Lepisosteus oculatus: one gene and its partners. The protein of the gene in region 1 interacts with the protein of each later gene in a pairwise test. Links are inferred from orthologs where the notes say so. Each region holds a gene or a part of one and is shown in the gene's direction. Other genes may lie near its edges. The genes, in order: shc1, shcbp1 and insrb.

The links.
Region 2: the proteins of shc1 (region 1) and shcbp1 interact in a two-hybrid assay, tested with the Homo sapiens proteins (2 studies listed by BioGRID, with this or other methods). The link is inferred for Lepisosteus oculatus from reciprocal best matches to the Homo sapiens genes SHC1 and SHCBP1.
Region 3: the proteins of shc1 (region 1) and insrb interact in a two-hybrid assay, tested with the Homo sapiens proteins (2 studies listed by BioGRID and IntAct). The link is inferred for Lepisosteus oculatus from reciprocal best matches to the Homo sapiens genes SHC1 and INSR.

What each region holds. Positions count from the first base shown.
Region 1 is NC_090722.1:5,526,391-5,533,738, forward strand, and holds the start of shc1 (SHC-transforming protein 1), read left to right. Parts: upstream 1-4,246; 5' UTR 4,247-7,348. UniProt on the Homo sapiens protein: Signaling adapter that couples activated growth factor receptors to signaling pathways. Participates in a signaling cascade initiated by activated KIT and KITLG/SCF.
Region 2 is NC_090715.1:6,687,560-6,695,348, reverse strand, and holds the start of shcbp1 (SHC SH2 domain-binding protein 1), read left to right. Parts: upstream 1-4,701; 5' UTR 4,702-4,843; coding exon 4,844-5,060; intron 5,061-5,576; coding exon 5,577-5,774; intron 5,775-6,586; coding exon 6,587-6,702; intron 6,703-7,355; coding exon 7,356-7,564; intron 7,565-7,789. UniProt on the Homo sapiens protein: May play a role in signaling pathways governing cellular proliferation, cell growth and differentiation. May be a component of a novel signaling pathway downstream of Shc. Acts as a positive regulator of FGF signaling in neural progenitor cells.
Region 3 is NC_090724.1:6,042,499-6,050,490, forward strand, and holds the start of insrb (insulin receptor b), read left to right. Parts: upstream 1-4,962; 5' UTR 4,963-6,267; coding exon 6,268-6,346; intron 6,347-7,992. UniProt on the Homo sapiens protein: Receptor tyrosine kinase which mediates the pleiotropic actions of insulin.

The sequences.
Region 1 (7,348 bases):
GGTCAGTGCAGACAGAGGCCTGTCTGTCTCGATGATTAAGCTGTGGCAGTCATGCACTGTCTCCGTTATGCTCAGTGCGGACAGAGGCCTGTCCCAGCCTGCTTGCTGAGATAAACCGACATGTTCTGCCTGTGAGCCTGCTATGCATTATGTGTTCAGAGCAGGCAGAAGCCTGTGTCTCTCAGAGATCGGGCTGGTGTAGGTCGGGCCTGTCTCTCTCAGTGAGCACAGGCTGGCGTAGGGCTGGCCCGTCTCTCTCAGTGAGCACAGGCTGGCGTAGGGCTGGCCCGTCTCTCTCAGTGAGCACAGGCTGGTGTAGGGCTGGCCCGTCTCCCTCAGTGAGCACAGTCACTCTCTGCAGGGCAATTCCACACATACCTCCCCCTTGCCTGGACATGCCTGATGACAGGCACTGCTCAAGCACATGTGACTTTCTCTTTAGTTTTCCTTGTGTTCTTCTGTGTACCTGTCGGTCTACGTGAGTCAACAGAGTAGAGTCTGATCTGCCCGTTTTCAGTGCTGGAAATTTTCAGCAGCCCCTGAACACACCTGCAGGCTCTGTTTGTCCCTCAGCCTCTCGCCTGTCCCAGTGAGAGATCTGTTTGTCCCTCAGCCTCTCGCCTGTCCCAGGGAGAGATATACCGTCCCTCAGCTTGTTCCTTTTTTTCTATTTTGGAGAAATCTGATCCCGGCCACAGGGATTGTGATGGCCCAGAGGTCACCTGTCCATCGCAGTTACCGTGGACAGCGGTGTCCAGTCCTGGTTCCTGGATGGGGCTGGTGCGTCTGTGGGCTCTTCTCGGTCCCTCTAACGCGGTATCGCCTGAGGCTGTTGAACTGGTCTCATTAGGCCAGCGAGGGGCTGATGGGGCTGGTTCAGAGCGGGGCTGGGAGAAGACCCTCCAGCACCGCGATGGGAGACGCCGGGTCTGCAGCGCTCGGCTTCTCCGTCTTGCTGGATTCGCGTGGCCGCCTCCCCCCCCCCCCCCCCCCGGACCCAGCCAGTCGCCGATCAACCGGGACGGGGCGCGGCGCGGTGTCCCGGTCTGACGGCGCTGTGGTTGTTTTTGGTGGCCGCAGGTCTCGGCTGCCAGGGCCTGGGGACGGCGCGGCCGGATGGACTATGTGGTAAGAGCTCTGGTGCACCTGGTGGAGGTCGGGCACGGGCTGAAGGTGGAGGGGTGCTGTCCGCTGTGGGGGTGGTGGAGCCCGTCGTCTCTCTGAGCTCTTCTGTCCCTCTGTTCACTTACGCCAGGGGTCTCGGGCTCGGCTCCTGGAGGGCTGGATCTCTGCTCCCGCCAGGGGGGGCCAGTTAGAGATCTGGGGTCGCAGCTGATCTCTCAAAACGTTCGCTTCCTTAAGGGCACAGTCACCTGTGGAGCGTCTCGGGACTAACAATTATTCGACTAATAGCTGGAACAGCAGCCAGGAGACCCTGGACCTCCAGGATCTGGGTTTGAGACCCGGCGATTACCCAGGGCCGTGCCGTGTTGAGACGGATGGCACAACCCAAAGCACAACGGGGAGCAGGCACCAACACAGCAGTGTATAGCTGTAGCCCAGGGCTCCTTCAAGTCCACTCCGGCTGGGTTTGTAGGTCCTCTTAGGTCGTCCACAGCTGCTGATTTCTTTAAGTGGGTGGGAGGGGGGAGCAGTTAAATGGGATGGATTAGGCCTTAAGAAGGCTCATTTAGACCACTCTGCGTGCTGGTGGTCAGTTGCTGTTGTCTTGTGGCCGACAGCCTGGCGTGGTGGTCTGAGGCTCTGGACACCTGGCCGTAGGGTCAAGTCGGCTGTCGTTCCCTCAAGCAAAGGTCCAGCACCCAGAAGTGGCTCTCGATTTATCTCTCTACAGACGTCATTGCCATTCTGTGTGAAAGCATCTGAAGAACGAGCCATCTTATTTTGAGGATTTAGGAGGCATTTTGGACTGTTGCCCTTAAGGAGTGAATTGGGGATTCCTTGGAGAGCTGTCTGTTGTCATGGGGTTACCGGCTCCAGAGACCTTGGAATGGCAGCCGTTAATTTAGTGAAATGTGGCCATAAGGGTATATTATATGTTGACAAGTGACAGGTTCCTCTTTCACATACAGGCCCGTGGATGACGTTGACTTCCACGTGGATGGGAATGAGCTTCATTAATTCGGTAGTCCAGTACTATTCAACCTGCGGCCCCTCCAGTCCGCTCCATCTCCATTTCACAGCTTAGCTGCTGCCAGCCCCTCGGTTATGCAGGATCGATATCGGAATGAAAGAGCCGGTTATGTCGAAGTCGTGGAGCGGAGCGAATTGGAGGGTTAGGTAGCCCTGGCCAAGTCGTTGTCGTTGTAGAAAAATGTCCTGTGTGGAAAATAATTGTTATTCATCTACTCCGATGGAAGCAAAGAGACCAGGCCCTCCAGGAACTGAGCCCTATTGTAAATGCTAGTTTGCAGAGAAAATTAATTCTCTTTTCTCTTGAACTAAACTTCTCCTGCACTACTTCATCTGCCTCAGGTGAGGGATTTTGTGAATCGGCAGTACTACGCACTCCTGTACTATGTTAGTATAGTCATTCCCAGCTCCTCGGTTTTTAGTTTGATTCCTTTGCGCACATTTATGCTTTATGTCCCTGGCTTCTCCGTAGAACATACCAAAGCAGTGTGTGCTTGTCTGCTCCTAACATTGCGTACTAACACTCCTGCTGCTGCTCCTACTGCACCTTGTACTAATCAGAACAGCAATCAGGGTGCGGAAAATGTGATTTGGAATATGTTCACCCCTTGAGAAATGCCTGATTGCAGCTGGTTTCCAAGCACTTCAGCAGCCGCTGAATGATTCAGAACTGAATCCAGCTTCTGAAAGGCTCCCTGTCCCGTGTGCGTCGCTGCGCAGGGCCTGACGTGGGCGAGCACGGATGCCTGAAAGTGTCGTGACCCCTCATTAACAAGGCAGGAAGTTCCTCCTCCCCACCCTGGCCCCCATAAATTGAGGGGTCTCCAAACCCCAGCAGGGCACCTTGAATCTTCTGTTTTTTTTTTTTTTTACAGCTTCTCAAGCTATAAAAACAGCTTTTTTATTTAGACTTCCCAAGTTATTCTTCAGTTAAGCAAGAAATGTGTTCAGCTAAGGAAGCTGGGTGTAAGGGTCTTCAAATTTGAGCTACAAAGGGTCCCTAGATCACTTAGCACAGCACCTGCTGAACTGATCGCCACTGAAACTCTCCGGGGCTGCAGAAGTGGGTGGCGTAGTTATTTATAAACCCTACTGGACGGGAGCTGTCCGTGGCCAGGGCTGGAGACCCCTGCTGCAGACGATCAGGACCCTGACCGGACAGACTCCCGATAGGAGTGCAAGCCGAGTTTCCGAGGATCATGTCCGTGGAGCAGCGAGGGGCAGAAACCCGTCAGGAAGGAGGACTTTGGACTCGGGAGAGAAGGAGGGGCGCTTGGTCTGTGTCTCGCTGGCACTCCCTGTCTAGGGCCAGCCCGTCGTCTGCCTGATTTCCTTTGCTCTCTGCCCCGCACTTCGCCCATTGCTGTATATACGATACCCCCCCCCTCTCTCTCAGTGCAGTGTTAATGTACTGGAGTGTCCAGTCAGTCAGTGTGTCTGTATGAACCCCTCTCTCTCAGTGCAGTGTTAATGTACTGGAGTGTCCAGTCAGTGTGTCTGTATGAACCCCTCTCTCAGTGCAGTGTTAATGTACTGGAGTGTCCAGTCAGTCAGTGTGTCAGTATGAACCCCTCTCTCTCAGTGCAGTGTTCATGTACTGGAGTGTCCAGTCAGTGTGTCTGTATGAACCCCTCTCTCAGTGCAGTGTTAATGTACTGGAGTGTCCAGTCAGTCAGTGTGTCAGTATGAACCCCTCTCTCTCAGTGCAGTGTTCATGTACTGGAGTGTCCAGTCAGTGTGTCTGTATTAACCCCTCTCTCTCTCAGTGCAGTGTTCATGTACTGGAGTGTCCAGTCAGTCAGTGTGTCTGTATGAACCCCTCTCTCTCTCAGTGCAGTGTTAATGTACTGGAGTGTCCAGTCAGTGTGTCTGTATGAACCCCTCTCTCTCAGTGCAGTGTTAATGTACTGGAGTGTCCAGTCAGTGTGTCTGTATGAACCCCTCTCTCTCTCAGTGCAGTGTTAATGTACTGGAGTGTCCAGTCAGTGTGTCTGTATGAACCCCTCTCTCTCAGTGCAGTGTTAATGTACTGGAGTGTCCAGTCAGTGTGTCTGTATGAACCCCTCTCTCTCAGTGCAGTGTTCATGTACTGGAGTGTCCAGTCAGTGTGTCTGTATGAACCCCTCTCTCTCAGTGCAGTGTTAATGTACTGGAGTGTCCAGTCAGTGTGTCTGTATTAACCCCTCTCTCTCAGTGCAGTGTTAATGTACTGGAGTGTCCAGTCAGTCAGTGTGTCTGTATGAACCCCTCTCTCTCAGTGCAGTGTTAATGTACTGGAGTGTCCAGTCAGTGTGTCTGTATGAACCCCTCTCTCTCAGTGCAGTGTTAATGTACTGGAGTGTCCAGTCAGTCAGTGTGTCTGTATGAACCCCTCTCTCTCAGTGCAGTGTTAATGTACTGGAGTGTCCAGTCAGTGTGTCTGTATGAACCCCTCTCTCTCAGTGCAGTGTTAATGTACTGGAGTGTCCAGTCAGTGTGTGTGTATTAACCCCTCTGTCTCAGTGCAGTGTTAATGTACTGGAGTGTCCAGTCAGTCAGTGTGTCTGTATTAACCCCTCTCTCACTCTCTGCCAGGCAGGAGTGGGCAGTCATTTTATGTGCATTAGACCCTCTCAGGGCTCTCGAACGGCTCGCTGTTAATGTAGGAAGTGCTGTGTGCAGCTGGTCAGCCAGTCAATGTCTGTTTATTACCCCTCCCATCTGGGACAGAGTGGAAGTGTAGTCAGGTTACAGGGGAGGAGTGGATGGCGATGGGGGTGGGGCGAGCTCGCTGTGTTTCCCTGTCTCTTTTCAAACACGTGCTCCCTCCCTCCCTCCTTCCTGTGTGTGTCTGTGCACGCCTGTGCTTTCAAGACGGGCAGCGGGGAGAGAGAGAGAGGGAGCGTCTGTGTCCCTGTGTGTGTGTGCGCGTGCCTCTCCGAGAGGACACGCCTCCAGGACGGCGAGGAGGAGACCGAGGGGGAGAGACCTGCTCCTCACCGGAGACAGAAGGACTCGTTTCTATAAGGAGCAGTTTCCATCTCCGTGCCCGGCTCGCGTTTGCTGTTTGCTCGTCTCCTTTTTTTTTCCCACCTCCGTTGACGGCTTTGTGCTCTGCCAGCATCGATCTGGCCGGCTGAGCCTGGCTGTGCTGAAGAGAAGAGGGGGTGGGGGTGCATTGGGGGGGGGGAGGCCCCAAAAACCAGGGAGCAGGGGGGAAAAACTGCATATAGACGCCCGGGGAAATCGAGGGCCCGGTGATGTAGCATCAAGAGCTGGAGCCGGGTGGAAAAGAGGAGGTGGAAGGTTTGTCCGGCTGCCCTGTTATCCGTTCTGACTTCAGGAAGAGGATAAAAGGAATAAAGGGGGAAGGAGTTCGGAAGTGCGGGAAAAGGAATCTTGCCTTGTGTCTCCTCCGCCTGTTTTTCCTCACGGCCGGCTTCCAGGAGGAAGCCCGCTTTGGAAGCAACTCCAGGAGTTTTCACGGGAGCTCACGTTTTCCTGGACGGAAGGGGAGGATACTGGGATTTGCTCCCTGTCCGCACCTGCCAGCGGACGAGAAGGAGAGAAGACGGAAGAAAGGGGAATAAAAGAAAAACCGTGGATTGCCAGTCGGAATTTGAAAGGAAAATTTAATCTGCAGCTAAACTGAGAATCTCCCATCTGCTTGAGCAGGCCAGGGGGTGAAAACTGTGAGAGAGCTGCACTCCATCAGCGTGCTGGGAATTTTGCAAAGTTTTTTTTGGTAGCAATGGTGTTGAAGGAGTTGTTGGATGTAGTATCCATAATGTTCATTGTGATTGAGCATTATGGATCCTTAATGTTGTGAATCTGTGATTGCTGTTCTACTAGCTGTTATTTCCCGATTAACATTACTGGGATTTGTGGGAATGGCTTCTCCTCTGCTCCTAGGGGTTTGAATCCCACTGTTTGTTTCGTGTCCGCAGCTGTCCTGTTCTGGAAAATCCGGAAGGAGCTGGTTTTTAATGGCACAGGCCCGGCCGCATATCCTGACAGTGATCAGCCGTGTCATTAATATTAATTAGCTGTAATGTTGCCTGTTGTAAAAAGGCGCAGCGGTGTGGAGCCCATGTCTGCCTATGGATCTGCCACTGTTGGCCTGGAAGTAGCCAGGTTGTGCTGACCGGCTCTAGGTGTTCCGGCTGTAACCTGACCCTCACGGTCGCAGTAGAGAGGCTGTAGGCCCCTCTCTCTCTCGCTGCGAATGCACGGGTAGGTTGTGCCGTTCCTAAAACGGGACCCCTCGAGAGCCGCTCCGGCGTGCTGGCGAGTTGGACTGCCGTCGGGTAGCCCTGTACGGTGCTGGATTGCATGGTGACGCCCCACGCGGGTCTCTCTGGAGAGTGACAGGGGCGCAGACCCACAAGGGCAAGAGCGTTCGACGGTACCATCCGCTGGCCAAGGAAAGCTGTCCGCGGTGACGGCATGGGGTTATATAGCGCCTTGCAGCGCTAAAGCACTTCCCTAACAAGCCAGCTCCCCTGTGAGCTGTCGAAATTTCTGTTTTCAGTAGTGTCCCTGCCCTGCGTTGGTCCTGCCCTCCTGATAACATTGAATTGCGGCTTGTTCCCCTCTCGTCTCGGATCTTGCAGTTCTCTGACTGGCGTTTGCTGGAAGGACCTTTTTTTCCTGCTCCAGGGGAGGTGAAAACATTTCTTGTGAACTCCGGTGTGTCGAAATGGCCATCGCTGACTCACAGTGAAGCCCACCTTCTTAGGCATTTGCGCTGAGTCATGGCAGGCTGTCGCTCATATCGGGATTGCTAGTGTCTGATCATATTCCCAGATGAGTCAATACCTCTCCTATTACTTCAGGTGGTTTGTTTTGTTTCTCCACACTCGCTACTGCAAGTCACACCAAAACTTTTCTGACAAAAGGCAAATTTCCAAACTGGGAACGTTCTCAACAGAGGGGAATGTGAGTTTCAGTACAGGGGAAGTTCATAAAAACTCCCTTCTTGGCACGAATCTGAGCTCCACCTGATAAAAAAAAAAATGCTGTGATAATACAGTTATAATAAAGAAAGTTCACGTACTCAGTCAAAGTTATTTTCTACAACTATTCTCTCTGTGTGCTCCTGAAACGTACAACATTAAATTTTCTGTGCATAGGTGTCTGATACATGACGGAGGTTCAGAATATTGTAGATATCGGGGTCACCTTTGCTCAAGAGTAAAGGCAGCAAGCTGTCTCG
Region 2 (7,789 bases), on another chromosome or scaffold:
TTTCCTTTATTGCTACTGACACCTAATTGGGCTGTCATCACCTGCTAAAGATTGGCAAAGAATTACCAGTCTAAAAGTCAAAATATATTACTAAAGTTTTAAATCACTGAAAGACACAAAATAAGACTTTATCCAATCTTTCTCTCAATATTTAACCCCTTTATCCAATAAAGGGTCATGGGGGAGCTGGAGCCTATCCTGGCAAGCAATGGGTGCAAGGCGGGATACTCCCTGGACAGGACGCTAGTTGTTCTGTTGATATACAGGCATTATTGAATTGTCGTGTTAACAACTGAATGAGACAGAAAGACAGAACAAACGTAAATAGACAGAACTCTGCCATCAGCCACAAATGTCAGATTTTAAAATCAGACATTATAATAATAATAATAATAATAATGATAATAATAATAATAATAATAATTATTATTATTATTATTATTATTATTATTATTATTATTATTATTACTTTTCTTTATTGTACTCCTTTTGTTGTTGTTGTTGTTGAAGTAAAATTCATCCTTGGCTAGAAATCTGTTAAAATAGGATGACATGAGCCTGATCAGTAGTGCAGTGGGAGTGGTATTCTGTGACTCACTCCCTGCAGCTGTCTTCTTCCTGTGTTACAAGTGTCATTCCACAAAACCATTGTGCAGGACACCTGCTGGCTCTCTGATGCTTTTTCTGAGTCTCCGGACTAACATGCAGCCAATATTGTGGATAAAAGGATTGACCTAGTCTTCAAATGGACACTGTGGAGGGGAATTTCTAATGGTGTGTGTTAACGCCAAATCCCATCACAAGGCTGAAATGTATGTGAAAGGTGTGACAATGATGAGCATGCTTTTTGCGAGGTCAAAACTTACTGAGATAAATTCACAAAGTACTGTAGTTTATTCCAAAAACCTTTTTAGACCCATTTTCATCCATTCATCCATTTTCTAAAGCCCCTTTACATAACACAGTATCGCAGTGGAGTTGGAACCTATCCTTTAAGCAATAGGCACAAGCCAGGGTACACCCTGGATGGAACGCCAGTTAATTTACCCTATAGACTGTGGAAGGAAACCAGAGTACCTAGACAAAACGTATTAAAAACATAGGTTTCCATTAGACAAACTCCATTCAGAAAACACCCTAGAAATTTAACCAAGGGCCCCAGCACTGCAAGGTACCAATGCTAACCACTGTGCCACTTGCCACCCTAGCCACATGTTTCTATTTTTAAAGAATTTATATTTTTCTAATTTAAGTCATTTATTATACTTCAAATATTTTAATGTTAATGAAATATTGCAATATTTAAATTAATACCTGTCAATCTGTTCTGTAGACCTGCTGGATTGTGGCTCTTCAGTACCAGAGTTGGCCACCTAGAGCCTAGTCAGCATACCCTTAGAAGGTGAGAGGAAATTGAGAGAACATGCAAACTCTAGTAAAAGTAATGAGTCAGGAATCCAACTCAGCAGCCAAGAGCTGTAAAGCAGTAATATAAATATCTGCCACTCAGCTGTTCTGCTTATGAGCAAAATAATTAGCAAATATTGTTCTTACTACTACTTTTATTACTATTTCATTGTAATTTTTACATCACACTAAAGCTGACAAAATCAATAATGTCCTATTTTATAAATTGCCTTTCATATTGTTTTTCAGGCTGCTTATCCGGTATTGTTACAGCAATCTGCAAAAATATAACACTTGTTAACGTTGTTAGCATTGTAAAAATAATCTTCATACAGATTAGCATAATCTTTTATTAACGTTGATCTTATATGGTAAAATTGTGTTTTTACTGTTTGCTGGTTTTAAAAACGTCTCTCTATTGCCATCTGCCTGAGAAATGAGAGAAGTTCAGCAGGGACCATTTCCAATAGTTTTTAACAGAGGATTCTTTGGACCAGAGGATACAAAGCTGCCACTCTGCTGTCTCTGGGAATGGCTCAAAAATGCATCGTTCTGTTCTTGGGTGGCTATATGAAGACCCATTGCCACACATCCAGAATAGTTCCACTCTGCTGCTTCAGACAATCAAATTAGAAGTAAAATGTTGCAAAGTCTGTGGGGTCCGCTTCATGCTGATTAATAAATTACTGATTCCTAATTGCAATCAAAACATCTCTGAAATGACAGTGTGCAGACTGAGTTGTTACACTGAATGAAATTCACCCATAATAAGCACATGAATCATTTATTTAGCCACGGAAAATAATTTTATAGATTTATTGTGGTACTTTCTGTCATCACACTGGTTCTTGTATCAGCTTCCTTTTGGGTTAATATTTAGGATAAGCCTAGAACTACAGTAGGCTGGAAGTAAGAGCTTGGCTAGTTGGGAAGGGACTGGGGATAGAGCTGAATAAGGATCAGTATAAAGTTTAACACTTTGGCGTGTGTTCGGGTTTTTGTTATATTACAGTTATATTTAGTTTTCCATTAAACTAGGTTTTGTGGGATAGAAATAAAGATTAGGCAGGAGCGAGGATGACTTTTGTTTTGTTTTGTTTTAAAAGTTAGTTTCAAGGGTTAGGATTATTATTCATGTTACAAAATTGGCTAGGAATTCAAATTGATATTACAAATGATTTTACATTGGTAATATCAGACCAATGATTGCTTTTTGGAGGTCCTATATTAAATTAAACTTAATTCAATAGATAAGTTTATTTGTCCTACTACAGCTCCACCACCAGTAAAAAGAATGTTCTTGCTGACATTCTAAACTGATAGAAGTAAAATGGATTGGAGAAGTAAAACAGCTACAGTATTTCTGCTATCCTCTGTGCAGTTAAAGCTGAATATCTGAACATTTTAAGTTCTGAACAGAGACGATTACGAATGGACCTGATACAAGTATTCAAAATCTTCAAGGTCTTCGCCAAAGTCTATGTCAAATCTAAATCAACAATATTCCAACACTACCCAGAGACGACAAGTGGAAAATATGTGAGAGTGCATTTAAAACAGACAATAGGAGGCAGTGCTCCACACAAAAGGTTGTGGTGTTATCAAATAAGCTACCTGTTATCTTGTTGAAGCCGATATCTTGGCTTCCTTCCAAAAAAACAGCTCTATGACATCTGTGTAACAAAGGAACAGATAAAGGTTTATCCCATGCTGAAAGGGAAAGAAGTGATGCACCTGAAGAAGGTTCCACAATGATTGCTCTGTGTTGTGTCTCTTTTCTTTTTTTTTATTCTGCCATCCACTTGAAATTCTTGTAACACACTAGATGAGCAGAATTGCCTCCTCTTGCTTATGTTCTTATGTATCATGTGGCACAACTGTTTTTGGTTGTGTTGAGGCCACAAAATTGTACAGCTCCAGGTTTCTTCTCCAGAAAAGCTTTTTCTGAAAAGCGCCAGCAACACCATTCATCTTCAGGCATCTCTCAGCAGCTGCCTTCTACCTTTGGAGCATGGCTAGAAAAAAAACACAAGTTCAGCTCTTCCCCTGCAGCAGCAGTAATGTAACTCACGTGTGAACATGAAGAAGGGCGTCCTCAGGGTTTCTACTGATGGGTTCATTATGAATCTTCTTTCCTTGACTGAAAGGTTTCTTTAGAAAAATGTGTTTTGCATTGATTTTTCAACTACAGTCTGCATGAAAGATTATTAAAGATCAAGATACACTTAAAGGCAACAATACCCTCCACTACAGCCTCTCAGTGTCAGAAGTAATGGAAAAATCTTGAGTTTATTGAACTGCCATAACCCAAAAGCCAATACTTTTACATCTGCAGCTGTCACGCCCTCTGCAGCCAGAGGGCGCTCCTACTCTGTTCTGTCCCTAGTTTCCTATGCTTTGCTGTCCTTCCGGTGTCTCTCTTTCTTGGGCTATATATTTCCGGGTTTCTCATTCACCTTCGCTCAGCATTGATGTTCGGATGTCCTGAGACCCGCCTAGCATCCAGGTGGCCCCACATCCGCTGCCTGAGGGCATTGGTTTCTATACGACTCCTGAACTGCTGAGCCTGGGGTAATCTCCCATTCCGCTGCTACGCATATGGGTCTTTTTCTGTTCTCCCGCCTCTCCACGGTTCATCCCTTCCGACATCTGTGACAGCAGCCCTTTAGCACTAAATGAAATGTGGAGATTTCAATATGATATAGATAGCTCTCATGCAGCAGTTCACAATTACTGACCTGACAGAATACTGATAATTTGGTTTGACCATTTCCCTTGTATTTTTTTTATTTATTTTTTTTTGAGGGGGGGGGGGGGGGGGATATTTTAATAGCACTGCCCCTGCATGGTTCATATAAATAAAGTTGCTTCTGTTAGTGCAGAATTAAAGGTAAAAAAGACTTATGCATGAATTACATATATCCAACCACAACACATAAAACATTTTTGTTGAATACAGTTAAATATATAATGTTTTATTTCAAATACGGGTTCATAAATATATTTAACTTTTATGTTGTTGACATAAGTTATATTAATTAATTTATTAGATCGAATTAATACTTATTAATTTTTAGTCATTCATTAGTAATTCGCTTTTGCCTGCTATAATAATTCTGTTAACACCTCATCTCCTGTTTGTAATGTATTACAGTCCTGTGTAACTGCAGTTCTTGTACGCCATTTTGGCTCTTTAGAGCCGTGCTCTTGTTTTGTTTTTTAGTCAATGACGTCATGAGCCTAACCAGAAAAGGAAATTGCGTTTTCATGTTGTTTTCTCATTGGTCAGTCTTCTCTTAACCGGGGGAATTTTGAATTTGTTTGCAGGAGGAGCAAAGTATAGGATGTGTTTTAATGGTTTCTTTCACTAAAGTTTGTTAGACGGTTGCACACTTTTTAAAAGTAACTTAGACTCGCTTTAACCTTAACAAGTACAATGGCTGAAGATATCGCCTCTGCAAGTACAATGCAGGCTGAAACAAACGCTGGCATTCCAGAGTTGCAAATTAAGCCTGTAGCAAAATGTGACGAGGGAGCGGCTACGTCTCTAATACAAAATGAAATACAAGAAAAGATCGATTTGGAAACAGAAGTTGAAATGGAACCTGCTGGAATCGATCAGATGCCTGGTGAAATTCTGTATATAAAGCAAGGTAGGCCGTTGTTTGTTGTTCAGATATAAAATGTACAGCCTAAGATAATTTATAGAGTGAGAGGAGCGTCTCCTGTTTTTCGCTGAGGTTACCTTAGTAGTAATTGCAACATTCCAAAGTTAAAATCGATCATATTTAAACAGGTAAAGAGGTATTACCGAAGCTATTGCAGTTACTAATGCAATCAAATTCCGATTTTTTTTCAGCTCTGTATTTGAATATCTTTCGTTGTTAGCAACGAGCTTAAAAGCAATTTTGTGTATTACTGTCGGTCTAAGTTAAACTTTCAAACTTGAGGATTTGTCCAGAAACAGATCTCCCTTTGTTTAGAGTTTTTTGGTGAACCTCCTTGTTTTGATTGAAGGGAGAAGCACCGTTAATTTGGTCTAGATAAAAACTCTGAATTACATAGTGGGCATTCAAATACGACAAAGTGATGTTAACTTGACGCTGTTTAACCAAAAGATTCCCTTAAATCTTTCAAGTATTAAGTTTGATTGTTTTGTGTTTTCTTAGTTCTTTTTCAGGAAAATGATGAAGATGAAGATACCGAGGAAGATGATGACAGTTGTAGTGATTATGGCAGCAGTGACAAGCCAGGCACAGTTTTACAGAGGGCAGAATGCACAGGAAATGTTGCTTTCCCTGACATCTTCCAGACTAACCAGCTTCTGTTTTATGAGAGGTTTAAAGCTTATCAAGATTACATGCTAGGTAATTGCTTTCTATATTGACTGTTCTCACTTTGCACTATTGTTCCAAATTTCCCTTTGGTCTTTACCAATCATGGCCTCCTAATCCCCATCTAAGAATTGGCTTCATTACTCTGTTCTCCCCACTGAGAGCTGATGTGGGTTGAGTATATTGTGTGCACTTTGGCTGCTGTCGCATCATCTGGATGGGTGCTACACATTGGTGGTGGTGGAGGGGAGTCCCCACTATCTGTAAAGCTCTTTGAGTGGAGTGGCCAGATAAATGCTATATAAGTGTAAGGTACTATGCATATTTCTTCAGAAACCTTTTCATAAAATTGAGGGATGCACTGACAGATGTTGATACTTTATTTCAGGATTGCTTACAATCCATCCTTTATGAAAACCATGAAAAGGTCTCTTTGTTCTTAAAGGTCAAAACGGCACAGTTTTGGTCAGCAGATACTCACATTGGTTTAAAAATATTTAATCTTTATGAATACAGAGTTGTGTGGCACAGTGATATGGCACACAGTGTTGCTGCGTTTTCACAGATATTTGGTTCTGGAGTGGTGTGCTGACGGTTCTTTGTTTCAAAGGAGTTTCCTCCGGTCTTCCAAAGGCATGCTGAATTGGCATTTGTAAATTGCTCCACATACTTGCGCATATGTGTCCCGTGATGCACTGTGGTGCTGTGTGGGATGTAGCCCTGTCTTGTGCTTACAGGATGTTCTGGTTTGCTGTGACCCTCACCAGTAATACTTGGATGTCTGATAATGGATAGACAGATTGCAGAAATGAGTCCTAACAATGTGTGTTTTGGTTTCCCTGAAGGTGACTGTAAAACCTCAGAAGTTAGAGATTTTACTGCAGACTACTTGGAGAAGGTTCTGGAGCCCTGTGGCTGGCGTGCTGTGTGGAGCACAGAAGTGTTTGATGTACTGGTTGAGGTATGTCTGAATGCACCATCGTGGGCACCTTCTTCACCTTTGTTTATTGCAAAAGTACAGAGAGCTTGAGGCAATAGAACTGAAAGTCAACTCTTGTAACATCTTGTACAAAGCACTGACAGGAAAACAAATTCAGGCATTTTAGGTGTCTCTTAGAAGGGTTAGAATCTTTCAATACTATTGACCATTTGGGGCACAACTAAATTTACTTGCAGTTAAAGTAAGGTAATTCTAATTTGTCTTGTTTTTGATACACTTAGCTGCATTGTTTGCCACTCACGATTGGAGTGCAATTCAAAAATAGTTGTTTGGAATGTGCTACAGATCTATGGTTTCATGAGATCAGTAATGCTTTTTCTAAAAGAAGAAAATGGTAATGTTTCTCCCATTCCCAAAAAAATCACTCAACCTTATCTTGATTTTCATTTTATAATTTCATTTTTACTTTAATCATGCCTTCCTTGTCACAAGATGCTTTTCTTAAATCAGTGCACTGGTTTGTTCTGTTTTTAGATCTTTTTATGCATTCAGTTAGCTTTATATTTTAAAAAAGTCCGGGGAACAATTGGGAGGTGTTATGCAATGTTGCTAAAAGCTTTTTAATTTAATTCTGAGATTGGTGACTCAGAAGTCCTTTCTAACTGTCATTGCAGGTGGTGGATGTGGAGTGTTCCAGTCTGAAAGCCAGGGTGGAGCTGGTTCAGCCTCTCCTGTGTGAGAGAAAAGGCTGTGAGCTCACAGAGGAGTCCATGAGGGACCTGCTGGAGGCAAAAGAACATCAAGTGCCTTTGCAGGAACTCAGTGTTGTGTTTGATGAATCAGGGGAATTCGATCAAACAGCACTTGCTTTAGAGCACTTAAGGTAAATTATTTATGCATATTTAGAACTTGTTTTACTTAGCTGGAGAAAATCCAGACAGTCCTGACTTTGTTGTTCTGTACAGAGGTTTGAAGTGGAGAATGATGAATGTGGTTCTTGGAAAAGTGAAAGTTAATGAAAGCCTTGTGAATTTCCATGAAAACTTTTGTTGTATCTACAAACTGTTACCCCTTTTTGTAACCAGTGATCCTTATTATTCTGTAGTTT
Region 3 (7,992 bases), on another chromosome or scaffold:
TGGTGCAGAGGTTAGGAGTGCTGCCGGGTAGCACTGGGGCCCTGGGTTCAATTCCAGACCTGAGGTGCTGTCTGTGTGGAGTCTGCATGTTCTTCCTGTGTTTTCTCCTCTGGGTGCTCTGGTTTCCTCCCTCAGTCCTGAAACATGCTGGTGAGTTCATTGGCTTCTGCGGAAATGAGCCCTGTTGTGATTGTTTGTGTGTGTGTTTGTCATACGGCCCGGTGTCCTGTCCAGGCTGTACCTTGGTTTGCACCTGTTGCTTGCCAGGATAGGCTCCGCCTCCCCGGCAACCCTGAATCGCAAGCAGCATTTAGAAAAGGGATGGATATTAGCGCTGAATTGTTCCCAGTAGCAAGCAATTCTTTCCAAATTCCTACCCCAGCAGGTATGATAGATCTTTGCAGTATCATGACTCGGGCCTAGGTATATTCAGTGAAGGCTCTCCTATGCTGCTCGTGTGGCTCCTCATCCATGAATGACCCAGTGCCCTCAGTGAGCTCACACCATGCACGTCTGGTCAGATTTAGAAAGGCAGTGGGGCTGAGGACAGTGCTTTGTGTTGTGCACATCCACAGCCTCTCTCCTTTCAACATACCGGCCCTGCAGTTGGACCCCTGTCTGCTGTAACTCTCATGATCACAAGACAAGGCCGCACAAGAAGGAGAGAAAGAATGCCGTCTGTCAGAGACAGCCTGTGTCCCTTCATAGCTGCCCAGCCCCCAAGTCAGCACGATAATTTCTGAGGCCGAGAATTGTCTTTTTTTAGCTAACCTTACTTAACCCCATTCTGTTATTCCCAGCTCAATTGCTATGATTTATCTTCTTCCACTCCACACGCCTGCTGTGCTGCGTCTTGTACTGACACCTCTTGGTGGTGGGACTTACTGCGGTAAGGGGAACACGGAGGCCTGGCTGTGCACTCCCAGGTGAAAAGGATCTGCACAGATCTTTCAGGAGCTGTCGGCACATCAGCGGAAACTGCCCTGCGAGGTTATAGATGCAGGAGAAGAAAGTTTAAACACAAAAAAGTACGTCAGATCTTTTAAAATTTCAGAAGACAAAGCCCGGGCATTATTCAATTCAAAATAGTACAAATCACATTATTATTATTATTATTATTATTATTATTATTATTATTATTACTCATAATAATTATCATCATCATCATCATCATCACAGACGGTTGGGAAATCAGTGTTATGTCCAAAAACAGCTGCAAATAATGTAAGTCAAAAGACTGTGGCCTCCAATTATCACGTCGATCTGTGGGTCATAATTATACAACTCGCGAACTGAGCCTTCCCGCTTTGAAAGAAAATTGTGTACTCTCCATTATTTGTCCTAACGTGGAGGCTTTAAACGGAGACGGTGGCACGTCCTCTTTTGACAGGCGGCGTGATGAATCAAGCTCCTGCCGTCCCTGACACAATGACGAGGGAAACCTCCTGGTGAGCTCACAGCCACCCTGTCCTTGACTTTCAGGTATTGTTGCGGTGCCCTTCAGATACCCATGGCACACGCACAGCGGACTTTAGGAATAATTGCACACTCCTGTTTATTTTGAAACAGAAACAAAGCTGCATTCTGTTATTGCACTGTAGTGATTATAGGAGCAGGTAACTAAAGACAATAAGCTTGTACACAATGTCTACCATTATCTGCTGTTATGTCAGGAACTGGGTAAATGGTGTTTTCACTACTGTCCATCATTCTTCTAAGCTGACACAATGCACGTATCTTTAAAACATGCCTTTTCAACTGTATGCCTTTTGCCTCTTGTACAGGAGAAAAGACGTGAGCCCTGTTGTTGCGATGTGGTGGTTTAGTAAATGTATCTCTCAAATTCAAAGCTTGCGCTCAGCATTCTTACCCTGGGATGTTCAGTACAGGAGGTGTATCGATCGTTACCCTCCAGGAAGACTAGCTGGTCTTGTCTGAATCACTTCTAAAACGGAGCAAAAAACAAATGCTTGCTCAAACTGCTGTCGGGCTGGATCAGAATGCAGATGTTCCCTTGTTATTTCATCACCACTTGGCACACAAAGGGTTAGGGTGATTACGTGAGGTTGGTCTCAGTGTGAAGTGGGTGTTGCTGCCAAGTGTTACCTGTGCCCAGGGGATTGTTACTAGCTCCCAACGGAAGTGGTTGAAGGATGTCTCGTGTTTAATGGCCTCAAGGCGTGAGAACATTCTTTCGGATCCTGACAAACAGACATTTAACCAGACTGGAATCATATGGAAGGACATGAGAAAAGGCAAGCCCTGCCGCGGAGTGAGCAGCGTTAATAAAGAGCAGGACTCCTAAGTGGCTCAAACAGCAGAGGCACTATTTCGGGGGGCCTCCCGAAACAGACCGTTCGCATCGGGTTCGAGTCGGGGCTGCCGAGGTGCAAAAAGGCAAATGTCTCTGACAAGGGCGAGTTTCAGAGGAGTGTCCCGACATCACAGCCCCAACGGGTGCTGTACAGAGGACTGCAGCAGGAATCTAATTCCAGATTGGTAGAATGCAAAAAAAAAAGAAAATAGCACCCTTCAGATTTCCATGAAAAGTAAAAAAAATAAAATAAAGGCTCAGTAAGATACCACACTTAGCATGCATATACTGTAAAAACTATGGTTAGAACAAAGGTTCAACATCTGCACTGCTAATTTACATTTATATAGTGTTTTTCACCCCAAAAGACTTTTAAGTTTTGGGGACCTGCACCTCTGCCACCACTGCTATGCAGGACCCCGTTCTGTGGCAATGGACTGTCCTTCTATACCAGCACCCCCAGTAATTACCCCTACTCACTTGAACGGCATCATGGGATTGTTAATGACCATGTAGTCAGCACCCCTGTTCAGCATTTCATCTGTAGGACTGCACCATGTCAGCTTAAAGAGTGCCCCCTACAGTACTACTTACAACAGCAACCTGTTTTTTAATCAGAGGTCTCTCATGCCAATACTGGCCAGCATATTTCTAACAATCAGCTTACAAGAAAATAATGCTGCTGTCACCATCATTATCTTGATACCCACAATGTGAGTTTTATTCTCCCCTGTTGTTGGTATTAAAAGTAGCAGCAGGTGCCTATTGGTTTGAAATGCCATTAAAACCTACTAAAATTTGGAACAACTCTCAAAAGCTAGAATTAGTTCTTTGTGAAGTTGTCACTTGCTTAAAAACTCCTGATGACTGTCAAAGGGCAGACAGACAACTGAGTTTAAAAAATATCTATTTGTTAAAAGGGAAATAGTGATGCGTATAGCCTGCAGGCTGTGGAGAGTAGGTCTGGGTTGTTTTGTGGTGTTGCCCATTGCAGGTGAAGATTTATTTTGTGCCAATTGGAGCAGCTGAGACAAACAGTCCAGAGAGCTGAGGCTCGCGATAATGAGAATGGAAAAATGTTTCATTTCCAACCAGCCCCTTTCCAAGCTCCCATGTAAACAGCAAAAAAAGTTATTTAAGGAAAGCAGCCTCTTATTCAAGCAACCTCTCAGCCAAAAGATCGCAAAAGCAGACACGCAGTGACCTGCTTTATTTCAGGAAAGTTCTTCTCTCACATATGAGAAACACACGGGACAGATATTGTGGAAGCGCTCTTGTTTTGCAGAACTCAAAAACAGCTTGCTGCAGGGGCCAGTTGCATATTTATCCACCAACAGAAAGAAGGAACCTTACTGATATAAATCTTATTTTGTCAATAAAAGCAAATCTACAGTGGAACACGGACTGCTATTAACGATTTGTATTTCAACAGCCCATTTAAATACAGACACACAATTAGATGTTTGGTGACGTTAACCTTCCAGCAGACAAAGGTGTTACTTACAGGCAGATCAGGTGCCACCTCCCAGCCCACTATAAATGAATTACTTTTAAACAAGGAAGTGCGTGACAGGTAGAACCATCTTCACAAGCATTTCTGTACCACTGGCAGAAGATCACACCCCTGGCAACAACAATCTGATAATCCCAGCACACCCCTTTTCTACCACGCTATCTGTGACAGTGATCGGGCACTTCTTAATTAGCGTTAAAACAAAGATCGCATCACAGACCCTTTCTCACACGATCATTTGCTGGATTTTCACAGCACTAAAAAACAGTGCCTCGCCTATCTCATTTAGTGTTCACTTTGTGTGTGTTTTCATCTGCAGGTCTGAGCCCCTCTCCTGCTGACCCGAGTGTGCCCAGCAATATGGAGTTCAGTCCCGAGAACAGAGCTGCCTTACTCCTGTTGCAGCACATAGACTAGTGTTGGCACTATGGGACTGACAACCGAAATATAGGTTTGGAAGTAGTTCAGGTGGGGAGCTGCGTCAGCTTGCGTGGTCTGCAAAGGAATCAGTAATAGGTTTATTCCATGCTGAAAAGAGAAGAGAGAGCACACAACGTTTCGCCTACAAAGCCTTCACAGCCGAAACGTTGTGTTTTCTCTCTTCCCTTTTCAGCATGGAATAGATCTATTGCTTGTTCTTTTATAGGTGTTAAAGCAGAGAATCAACACACACACACATATATATTACTTTCAGCCACAGAAATAAGAAACAACAACTAACTATCTAGCGTATGGCCAATTACCTTTGCTAAATCTATGCAAACTGGGCGCTAGAATGAGTATAGGATGTTTGGAACCCAATATCCTGCCCAAAGATGAGACGGGTCCGTTTCCGTTTTGTTTTTCAAGTGGGGCAGCCGTTCAACACACCACGAAAGTCGAGCAATTACCGGGGGGTTATGCTAATGAAACAGCATGCGTTCAGGTTGCACTGATGCACTGATGTCATTCCCCGGCGGTTCCACCCCCCTGAACATACTAAACATACACCCCCTCACCCCCCCCCCCCCCCCAACTCCCACTCGTTTCTGCTGACTCCAGGTCGTATTTTTTTTTTAGGCTGTCAAATCCAGTCCGTAGTTTGCGCCGTGCCTTGCGCCAGCTGACTGGCAGCTCTTGTTTACTGGCAGGGAGATACTGAGAGACTGAAAAAGGGGGAACTTTAGCGGAGAGAGAGAGAGGACGAGCGGTACTGCAGATTCGGGGGGGAAAAGAGAAGTTTTTTAGCTTTTTTTTCCGCAGATTCGCTTGCTGTCGACGCGTGTTTACCTTGCTGTCGCGCTTTTCGCCGTCGTCCGAAAATCTTTTCTACAGCCTGCTTTCCAAAAAAAAAAACCACGAAAGGTAAAATAACCTGTCCGGGCTCAGATTAGCCCAAAAAGACGAAGACGAAGAAGCAGAAGCAGAAGAAGAGAAAAAAACCAGTGCGGGGAGTTTTGCACACTCCAGAAGCACCGTGCGTTGTGTTTTTTTTTTTTATTTGTACTGTTAAGTAACTATCATACATTTCCATTGTTTGGGACGTGTTTTTTTTTAAGACTCTTTGGGAAACTCGCCAAAGAGTTGAAAAGGAAGCTGAGCGAGGAAGGACGTTTTTACCGAAAGGGAAAAGCAATTTTTTTCGGATTATTTCCTGCGGAGTTCCTGTGATGTTTATTTTTCTATTGGACGTTGTAACACTATTTTCCTGTGATACGGAAAGGGCAGGGAAGGAGAGGGAGGTTCGGGAGGAAATAATCGTGTATAAAACACAGTGAAACCGGGGATTAAAAACTAAACGTTTTTTTTTAATTTTCATGTCAACAGTGCGAGAGGAGGAGAATACCACGCTTTATAAAAGGACAGAAAAATAAAAGAAGATCTTTGTATTTGCAAGTCAAAATAAACAGTTGCATCTTGCAGAAAAGCAACAGCTAATCCAGGAATTTTCTTTTTTTAACCTTTTGAAGGAAACCCCAGCTTTTATGTGGGTATGAGCGACTCGCTACCCCTTAGGGTACCTCCTTATTAAAGCGGTTTGCTGGTGGGAATTATTTTCTCGACTGAAGGAGGATTTTGTCAAACAAACTTTACCCGATGAAAGTGGACGACTTGTATCACTTGATTTAAAATGAAGCTCTGGGTTCGCCAAAGTGCTGTCAGAACCCAAGACCACATTATTTGATGCAAATCTAACCTGGCGAAGTAGTAAAACAACAAAAAAAGTTAATACATATTTTGAGTATTAAAACGCGTTTAAATATTCCCTCACCCCCCTTTTTGGGGGTGGTGTGGTTTTGTTTTTTTGTTTTTTTGTTTTTGTTGTGTATGAAAACGGCTTTCAAGCAAGAATCTCTGATTTTATAAACGATTAAAGGAAAAAGTTTTACTCAATTTTTGGATTTTTTCCCCTTTTAATCTGGCATTTTTTGGTGGATTTAAGGACATCACTGGGGTCAGAATGCGGTTGGACACCCCGGTGGTTGCTTTCGTTACTTTTATCTGCGTTTTAAGCAATTGCGGGATATCGGATGGAGAAAGTAAGTAAATCAAAGCTTTATTTTCCATTTAAGGATGGCGTTGGAACTCTTTCGCTGCGACAGTGTACAAATGTGCTATTTATATCATAAATCAGTTAAATCGTTAGAGGGTTTTTTATAGGCCTCGTGTTTTGTGGAACTGCTCAGATTGTAAGAAATGCAAAATGTATATATTGTTTACACCTAATTTGAGTATTTACGTAACGTTTTAAAACGCGGTTTTTGGTGGGAGAACATTTCCCAATACCATTTTCTTACGGCGGAATAAGTCAAATTTTAAGTGTTTTTTTTTGTAACATTTTTAGTTTTTAAATATTTTTTTTAGAGAATTATTATTATACGATTATATTTTGAGGCCTGCTTGCGCATACATGAGCCCGAAGGCTAGATTAGCCTTTGTCGCGGGAAGAGGGTGGGATATAGACAGCGATTCTAAACTTAAAGGTCCGGGACTCGTCTGTCCGCCTAGGCCTGTGTTCACGTTGAACTAATAATGCAACAAATGAGATTCAGAAGTCCAGTGTTTTGTAGGATTACATGTGACCCGGGCATACACAAGATGTGGTGCGTGCTTATTTTTTTTTCTGAGCATTGTAGGAAAGCAAATAGTTTGTCGTGTTTTTATTATGGCATTTTAATGTATATTATATAGAAAACTGCGCAGAAAATGTAAAAGAGACCACCATTTTCAGTTGGTAATCTTAACCCTTTTCCCCTGTTGGTCAGGGTATAAGCCATATAAGTCTATATAAGGCACAGATTTGACCGAAGATTACCGTCATAAAATAATTAGCTCACACGCACACACTAAGTTTTGAAGAACCGCGTTCATTTTGTTTATGCATTTCATCCACTCCCGACACCCTGCTGATACACTGCACTTTGACACAAAGTACTCTGTGCGGGGGCTTAGTGTATCTCTGGGCAGTTGGTGTGGGTCATGACAGTTTCTACACTAAATTTTCATCTGCTTTTCCGACTTATTTGATATGCAAAGCAAGAGGTCGATGTATGCAGTAAGCGATTCTAGATAAATATCTTGATAAATGCATGCACGCACAAATAGGATACTTAAAGATTTTGGTAGCCTAGAACATCACGACATTATGTTCCGCTGTTCAAACAGAAAAACAAAATCTTGTACACACCGATTTCATAACCTATACTGTTCTGTCGGTCACAACCCAAAAACAGTGGAAGACTAATGCTGACTTTTCCGTCGTGTGAAGTACCCATCCTATCTAGATGTGAACGGATGAAAATGTATACAAAAAAATCACAGCAAATGAATTTCCCCCAACGTTTTTATTGAAGCTGGATTTATTTTAAAACCATAGAGAGTAAAAGTCAGCTTTTGTGCAACTTCAGGTGAATGCAAAAGTCTTTTTAAAACGTTTCATTAAATGATTCAACAAGTATTGAGGGGAGAAAAAATTAACAGGTGTCTGGTTCTCGTTTAAAAATAACCAGCTTTTAAAAGAGGAGTCGGCAAAGCAGCCAACCCTAAAGATAACTTTATAATAAAAACTTTGAACTAAAGATCGATTACTACCCCGTGTTCCAAATTGGCAATAATAGAAGTATACGTGTCTGGAGATGTTTTCATGTTTGTGCATCATTAATCGATATTGTGTCAAGATTATCAC